Linked DNA regions of Macaca mulatta. The protein of the gene in region 2 purifies or fractionates together with the protein of the main gene of each other region. This does not show direct contact. Links are inferred from orthologs where the notes say so. Each region holds a gene or a part of one and is shown on either strand. Other genes may lie near its edges.

Region 1 (4,334 bases), about 35 Mb from region 2:
CTACTATAGACCATATGGTCTGCAAAGACAAAAGTATATGCTATATGGCCCTTTACAAAAAATGAATTGGGGACCGGAGTATTAGACCACTATGGGCTTTTAACAACCCCAAGTGTGTGATAGCTGAATTTCAGAATCAGAAAAAGCCTTTGAAGAACTTGGGAGTTGAGTGTCATCACTAGGTAGATCAAACCTGTGGCTGACAAGGGCAAAATGATACGTCTAAGGTCACACGCATTTCACGTGGCTTTCTGGAGCACACCATTGTTACCACCAAGCGAAGACTACGAGGGGTGAGGATATTAGTTGAGGATAGTGAGACCATTGGGGTCCACTCTCAAGTTGAAATGGCCGGTTGTCAGTGGCCAATTTCTGAAAAGGGGACAGGAAAGCCTCATCTCAAGGCTGATAGTGACTGAAACTTATCTGTGCCTGTAGCAGCAAAATCTGGAAGTGGAAAGCAAGTTTCGAAAGGCCCAAAGAGGCTCTCAGCGGGCAGCCTGTAATAACCTAGGGCTCCTCCATCTTCCTAGTCCACTGCAGGGGCTGGAGATGGGTGTGGTGGAGGTGGTTACTATTTACTGAGGCCTAGTGTGCTGTGTGCAACATACTTTCAAGAACTTACACAATCTCATTTGATCCTCACAGTCACCATATGGAACACGTAATATCCCCATTTAAAGCTGTAGATGCTGAGGCTCAGAAAGGTTAATGACTTGCTCAAGGTCACACAGCTGTGAAGAGGTGAAGATGAGACTCCACTAGGTCGATTTCACCTGGAAACCTGTTTTTAATATAATGACTCACGGCACAGCCCATTGGTTACAGGATTGAGGCCGGCAAACAGCTGATAAGGGGCACACAGCTGATGTCGGGTTCAAATCCTGGTCCATCGGTCCCGAGGACTAGCGGTGAGTCCAGATTGCATTTTCCAACCAAGCATAAGTTTCCTTCTCTTAAGAGTTCTTCAGCCCCGTCTCATCTTTCCAAGCATCAGAGCTCTTGAAGAGCTGGTTAGGGCCTCCCTCTCATCCCTCCAGGGCACCTAGAATAGGGTCCAGCCCCCGTGAGGACGCAGGCGGTCCTTAGCCAGCCCTTGGCGCCGACCCTGGGTAGTCGATAGCTCCAACTGGGAACAGCACGGACTCTGAGTCGGCTGCCACCAGCCCGCCGGGCGCCACTTACCTGCCGCGGGGCGGTGAGGGTCCCATCCACGTCGAAGAGGCAGAGCGCTGGGCCAGGAGCTGCCATGTCCCCAGCGTCTAACCGCACCTCGCAAGACTCATTGGCATCAGGAACTCGGCCCGGAACTTCCGAGTTCGGCCCCCGAGCCGCAGGGCACGTCGGGAAGAGGAGGAGACTCCGTTCCCACAACGCCTGGGACTAGCGCCAGCCACGATTCCTGGACCGCAAATCCCAGGGTGCAACGCGGATCACGCCCGCCTTGTACATTCGAGCATGCGCTCTTAGAGGTTCCGGGGGCCGGTGGGACTTACTTCCGGCAGCAGGCTGTGGAGCCATGGTAAGGAGGCTGGTGGCGATCCTTGAGGGGGTGATGCTCTTTGGGGGTCGGTCGGGGTCAGAGCTGGGGCAGGCAGGCACGACGCCTGAGTTTCGGACCTGAAGAATCCGTGGGAGGAAGCTCTGGCGTGGGTTACCATTCGCCATTCCCGGGCTTTCTCTGCCCTCCTTGCGTCACGTGCTCACAGTAGTAATAGCTAAAACTCGCCGAGCTCTCACAGCGCATCAGGTACTAAGTTGAGGGCTTTGAAACCATCTTCTCGTTCACTGTGTTCTGAGTCCCCATTTTGAAAGCCGAAGAAACCGAAGCTCAGGGGTGTGGAGTGATTTGCTCAAGAATCCACAGGTAGTGACTGATGGAGCCAGAATTGGAACCAGAGCTTTTACTGCTTCACTACCCACCTAATAATATGTTTGTGCTACGTGTAGGGGCCTCCCTGCCTCGCTCCTCCTCCTCCTCGTTGTTTCCCCTTCCCCTGACTAGGTTAAGGGAAAGCAGCAGTTCCCTCCAGCACCCAAGATAACGTAAACAGAATTAGAAAGTTTGTTGGGATAACTATCTCACAGATTTGTTGCTTGAGTTCCCCACTAAGACATTGATTATTCAGTTTCCTGCTTGGGGAAATGTTCACACCCCCTTGTGGATCCATTGTCCAGCCCAGAGTTGGGACTCCCTAGATATGTTTTGAATTATTGATGGCCGCACCTCCTTTCTTGTATTTCTTTGGAATTGCCTGATGGAAGGAGGACTCTGCTGCACTCACTGACTGTGTGTTCTTTGGTAAATATCTTACCCTCTCTGGGCTTAGTTTCCCTAGTGGTAAAGTGGAAATAGTGATAACTATCTTAGATAGCTGTTGTGATGCCCACATGAGATAACATCTGGCTTTACCCTTCCCTCCTCTGGCAATAATGGTGACCTTGCAGGATTGGCAGAAGCCTTGGAGTATGGTGCTTTGCAGATGTTCACCGTGTGATTAATGTGGTTGAATTCCATGAGAGAAATCGTCTACTGTCTCCCTTTCAGGCTGCCCTTCTCCGAGTTGTGCCTAGATTTCGGGGAAAAGCTGCGTGGGAAAGGCCTCTCCATGGGTTGTGGTGCTGCAGTGGGCAGGAGGATCCTAAGAGGTGGGTGGGGAGCAGGTCACCCACCTCGAAGGAGAAACCACCAAACCAAGAGACTGAGAAATTCTGGATGTTTTACCGTTTTGATGCCATCAGAATCTTTGGGTTCCTGTCTCGACTGAAGTTGGCACAGACTGCCCTGACAGTGGTAGTTTTGCCACCAGCCTGTTACTGGTATTCCCAGGGCCTCCTGACTCTCAACACCGTGTGCCTGATGAGTGGGATATCGGGCTTTGCCCTGACCATGCTGTGCTGGATGAGCTATTTCTTTCGGAGACTGGTTGGTATCCTGTATCTGAATGAGTCTGGCACCATGCTGCGGGTGGCCCATCTGAGCTTCTGGGGCTGGCGGCAGGACACATACTGTCCCCTGGCAGATGTGATTCCCCTGACAGAAACCAAGGACCAGCCTCAGGAGATGTTCATGCGTATCCAGCGGTACAGCGGGAAACAGACCTTCTACGTCACCCTGCGCTATGGACACATCCTGGACAGAGAGCGTTTCACGCAGGTGTTTGGGAGACATCAGATGTTCAAGTAAACAACTGGGGCCTGGACCTCTGGGTAACCCTGGGTCACCTGGATTGACAGGAAGGCTGAGGGTGTGGGCACAGCTGAAGAAAGGGGATTGGGTACTTGGAGACTTTGCCTGGGCCCCTGGGAACATGTGTTTTGTGATGAAGAAATTCACAAGGCAAGAGCTGGTGTCCAGGTTTAGGAAAAAGGCTCTAAGCAAGTTCTTACAGCACTCGTGTGTGACATTCAGTCAGATAACGGCCAGAAGTTTTTGTTAAGAGCCAGTTCTTAGAAGAACCTATGCCAGGGTCACCCAGACAGTCCATTGGTGTGAAATTGAAAGGCAAAGAGGTGTGGTGGGGGAGCATAGGATTTGGAGTCAGAAGTCTCAGTTCTGTCACTTGTCCTGGGGTGGGTTATTGAGTCTCTTTGAACCTTGGTTTTCACATCTGTAAAATGGAAAGCCCTGCTTGTTTCGTGGGATGGATGTGGGAATAAATGTCAAACGTGTGGCAGACTCAGCAGCCTAGAGCAGATAGCATTAAGCATTTGGTCAGAGGTTTTGGCATGGAGAAAGGCTTCGAGCAGTCAGCAGGGACTTCCAGAGCCCTGTGCTGTGCCCCTCACACATCCAGCAGCAGAAAGGTCTGCCAGGATGTTAACTACACATCGATGAGCAGCGATGTCGTCCAAGTGAGCACGAAACCCCATTTGAGATTTGTTCACCACGCTGAGATCTAGAGGCTCTTGCTTTGGATGGCCCTGCAGTGTAATAAAGCCTAATGGACCGTATGCTGGTACGTTCTTTTATAAACTAAAGCCAGTTATATGCATTGCCCTGCATAATTAATAATACATGTTCATTATGCAATTTGTAACACAGTAAAGAGGAAGGAAGGCATGATCTTTATTATTTTGCCACTCGAAAGTCAATAAGAATGTTTTATTGCCGGGCGCGGTGGCTCACACCTGTAATCCCAGCACTTTGGGAGGCTGAGGCGGGTGGATCACGAGGTCAGGAGATCGAGACCATCCTGGCTAATGGTGAAACCCCGTCTCCACTAAAAAATACAAAAAAAAATTAGCCGAGTGTAGTGGCAGGCACCTGTAGTCCCAGCTACTCGGGAGGCTGAGGCCGGAGAATGGCATGAACCTGGGAGGCGGAGCTTGCA
Region 2 (4,344 bases):
AGCTGGGACTACAGGCGCTGCCACCTCGCCCGGCTATTTTTTGTATTTCTTAGTAGAGACGAGGTTTCACCATGTTAGCCAGGATGGTCTCGATCTCCTGACCTCGTGATCCGCCCATCTCGGCCTCCCAAAGTGCTGGGATTACAGGCTTGAGCCACCGTGCCCGGCCCCACCTGTTCTGTTCTGATCTTTGTTCTACAAGATATAAACAGATGACGCTGTCATATAACAACTTAGTTCTGAGGTTTGAGACAGTATACAGGTACATGGCTACAAGAAGGGAAGTGGGGAGACTTTTCCCATGTGAATAAATCACATCATGTATGAAGGGACCTTTTCTTGGAATCAAGACTACAAGGGCAAGGCTAGGTGCTGTAGCTCACACCTGTAATCCCAGCACTTTGGGAGGCCTAGGTGGGAGGATTACTTGAGCTCAGGAGTTCAAGACCAGCCTGGGCAACACAGGGAGACCCTGCTTCTAAAACAAGAAAAAAAAAAAAAAAAAGAAAAAGTGAACTGCAAGGGCAGCAAGGTGGGGCTACTGAGAATGATACCCCCTAAAGCAGCCCTGGGTAAATTTAATTGGAAAGACATGACTTCCGAGTACACAGCACTGTGCTAGTACCTAAGGATATAGAGATAGTCAGAAGATGCCCTCACAATCCGCCAGGATCCCCTAGCCTGTGTATGCTGTGGGAGGAAGGGAAGGGCTTTCCACATGCTGTTTCCTCCCTAGAGGAAGAAGAGCGTCTATCTTCCCTCCATCAACTGGTGAATGCCCATTCATCCCTCAGAGCTCACCTCCAGCACCACTCACTCAGAGTCTTCTTCCCTGAACCCTTTGTTTGTACCCTCCTGTAGCATCCTTTGTCACTATCATTCATTGTAATTATACACTTATGTAACTGTTTGGTTAATGCTTATCTCCCTCAATAACTTTAAGATTTCTTAAGGAGAGACATTGCCTTGCTCATTACCCCATGCCCACAGCCTAGCTCAGTGTCTAGCACACAGGCACTTTATACATATTTGCTATATCAGTGAATGAAATATAAATAACAAGTAGAGACAGAGCTACAAGAACTACAAATACTAACTTCTACTCTTGCCCCCTCTGCAGTCCATTCTCTGCACAGCCAGCAGAGTGGCCTTCTCAAAAGGTGAGTTACAGCATGTCTCTTCCCTGCTTAGATTAAGTCCTCAGCCCTACACCAATCGTACAGCTCATCTCTCTCTCCAGCCTCACCTCTTGTAATTACCCACCCCTGCTCTTTTCTGCCACCTACCTACCCGCTCTGCTCTTTAACCACATCAAGCCGCCTGCTGCTTCGCTTCTTTGCTGCTGCTGCTCCCTTTGTGGGAAATGCTCTTCCCCCTATTTTCCCATGTCTCCTGGCTCTCTCACCCTGCAGATCTCCGTTCACAAGCCATCTAAAGAGCACCTTTTTTTTTTTTTTTTTTTTTGACACAGGGTCTTGCTCTATCACCCAGGCTGGAGTGCAGTGGTGTGATCATGCCTCACTGCAGCCTCGAACTCCTGGGCTGAAGCGATACTCCCACCCCAGTCTCCTGAGTAGCTGGGATAAAGGGCACCCACCACCATGCCTGACTAATTGTTTAAAATTGTTCTAGAGACGGGGTCTTGCTATGTTGCCCAGACTGGCCTTGGACTCCTGGCCTCCAGTGATCCTCCTTCCTTGGCCTCCCAAAGCAATGGGATTACAGGCGTGAGCCACCGCGCCCGGCCCAAGAGCACCCAATTCAAACTTCCCACCCCCAACTCATCATCATCTCGTTTTCCCACAGCAATTCTCACTATGCAATATTATGTTTTACCTTTTTACTAGCTTCCTGTCTGTCTCCCCATCAACATGACTTGTGCCAAGACAGGGGATCTTGGCTGTCAACAGATCTCGCTCAACAGTCTTGGCTGCTCAAAATTCCCTGCATCTAGAACGAATCCTGACACATGAATTGAAGAGTTCATCCAAGCAAGGGACCCTAAGGAGGGCTTTTGGAGAGGGTAAAACGTGCGCAGGCGTGACGCTTGAGCAGGTGGACGCTGCAGGTGAAGCAGCCAGGTGGACAGATGAGATGCGTGTGGTTCGGGGATACTGGGGTTCTCTGGAGCCTGGAGACTGGCTTCAAATCTCTGCAAACGGGAGACCGGGCCAGGGCCTGGTGGCACACAGAAGGCGCTGGCTGACCGCTGCGACCGCCCGCAGCCCAGGCGCGGGGGAGGCTAGAAGTGGGCACCGCCCCGGACCCTTCCCGGCTCACCTCAGCGCGCCGGCTGCAGTCTCCCTGACTGCCAGGCTAGGGTCCAGCAGCAGCGGCCCGAGGCGGCGCACGGCGTCTCGGCGCGCCAGGCCCGGGAGTGCCGGCCGCTGCTGCACCAGCCGGGCCAGCCCCGCGCAGGCGCACTCGCGGACCTCGGCGCTCGGGTGCTGGAGCTGGGGAGGAGAGCGAGGAGGGTCAGAAGGAGAGCAGTGCGCACGCGCGCGGGGCAACCTCGTCTCGCTCTCCCGGCCCGGCGGAGCCCTCGCCTCACCTTTTCCAGCAGCTCCGCCGCTGGCCCGTCGTCCTCCTCGCCTCCGGTCCCATTCGCCGCCGCAGCCGCCTCGGCCTGACAGTCGCCCGTAGGGGAGAACTGAGGTCGCTTGAAGCGCTTCGTCCGGCTCTTACCCATGCCGACGTGCGCTGTGCTGACAGACCACCGAGAGAGGAGGGCAACAGCAGGCGGTGGAGGCTGCCGCGCCGGTGACAAGCAACGTCCGTGGCTGCTGCTCAGCTGGGCCTGCTGACTGCTGGAGAACACATGGGGAAACCGTGCGCAGGCGCGCGGCGCGTCGTCTGCTGGGTCGGGGTCGGGTGGGGGGGTGGCGCAGGCGTGGAAGAGGGCATGGGCGGGGCCAGCTTCTGCAAAGGGGCGGAGTCTTGTGGGTTACTGGGAAAGTAGGAGGCTGGACTAGAATAGTAACGCCGACCCAGGCGGGAGGATCACTTGAGGCCAGAAGTTCGAGACCATCTTGGGCAACATAGGAAAACACTCCACCCCCCCGACCCTTCCCCCGCAAAAAATTAAAAATTAGCTGGGCACAGTGGCGTGTGTGCGTAGTCCCAGCTACTCAGGAGGTTAAAGCGGGAAGATCACTTGACCCCAGGAGTTTGAGGCTACAGTGAGCCGTGATCCTGCTACTGCACTCCATCCTGGGCGACAGAGCGAGACCCTGTCTCAATCAATCAATCAAGCAAGCAATCAGTAAGTAACACTGAGTACAAATAATCAAATGTGATTAAGGATATTGTAAGTTCTGTAAAGTTCATAAAGTTCTATAAAGTGCCTAACACCAAGCCTGACATATAGTAGGTACTCAAAAAGTATTAACCACGATTTTATTTTGTGTCCCCAGCACCTCCCATAGCTCCTGTCATAGACAGAGACCAGTTAATGTTTTGGAACAAATGTGTGTCTATATTTGATAAAACAGAATCGCTTAAGAACCTAATCTCCCTGCCTTAGTTTCCTCATCAGTGAAGTGGGGACATTGATAGTATATACCTCATGGAGTTGTTACGAAAACTAAATGTGTTCATATGTTTAAGGTGCTAAGAACAGAGACTGGCAGATAATAAGCACTATGGAAATGTTTGGAAACTTGTATTTAACAAAGATTCTTTTGCAAATATTTGTTGAGTACTAGGTACAGTGCTGGGCATTGGAATAAAACAATAATCAAGACAATTTGATTCCTGTCCTCTCTCCCCGTCCTTATGGAGTTTACAGTCCAGGGAGAGATCTGTTGAATATATAATCATATTAATAACTTTGTGGTAAATTGTGGTAAATACTAAGCAGAGGGAAAAGTACAGGAGAATCTTAGGTGGTCTTTACAATTAGACATGTAACGAGTGAGTACTCAATATATGCATAGCTTTGGGTCAACTTTCTTTTTTTTTTCTTTTTGTTTTTGAAACAGAGTCTCTTTGGGAGGCCGAGACGGGCGGATCACGAGGTCAGGAGATCGAGACCATCCTGGCGAACATGGTGAAACCCCGTCTCTACTAAAAAATACAAAAAAACTATCCGGGCGAGGTGGCGGCGCCTGTAGCCCCAGCTACTCGGGAGGCTGAGGCAGGAGAATGGCGTGAACCCGGGAGGCGGAGCTTGCAGTGAGCTGAGATCCGGCCACTGCACTCCAGCCTGGGTGACAGAGCAAGACTCCGTCTCAAAAAAAAAAAAAAAAAAAAAGACACAGTCTCACTCTGTTGTCCAGGCTGGAGTGCAATGGTGCCATCTGGGCTTATTGTAACCTCTGCCTCTGAGTTCAAGCAATCCTCCTG

What was found.
Region 1: the proteins of HEATR3 (region 2) and TMEM186 purify together in Homo sapiens (co-immunoprecipitation; 3 studies listed by BioGRID and IntAct, counting the BioPlex papers as one, with this or other methods). This does not show direct contact. The link is inferred for Macaca mulatta from reciprocal best matches to the Homo sapiens genes HEATR3 and TMEM186.

Annotation. Positions count from the first base shown.
Region 1 is NC_133425.1:10,021,421-10,025,754, reverse strand, and holds TMEM186 (transmembrane protein 186), read left to right. Parts: upstream 1-1,494; 5' UTR 1,495-1,519; coding exon 1,520-1,522; intron 1,523-2,548; coding exon 2,549-3,187; 3' UTR 3,188-3,954; downstream 3,955-4,334. Other genes in the region: PMM2 (phosphomannomutase 2), read right to left, coding at 1,186-1,251. UniProt on the Homo sapiens protein: As part of the MCIA complex, required for efficient assembly of the mitochondrial complex I.
Region 2 is NC_133425.1:45,505,766-45,510,109, reverse strand, and holds the start of HEATR3 (HEAT repeat-containing protein 3), read right to left. Parts: upstream 2,830-4,344; 5' UTR 2,690-2,829; coding exon 2,552-2,689; intron 2,454-2,551; coding exon 2,281-2,453; exon of another isoform or gene 1,837-2,280; intron 1-1,836. UniProt on the Homo sapiens protein: Plays a role in ribosome biogenesis and in nuclear import of the 60S ribosomal protein L5/large ribosomal subunit protein uL18 (RPL5). Required for proper erythrocyte maturation.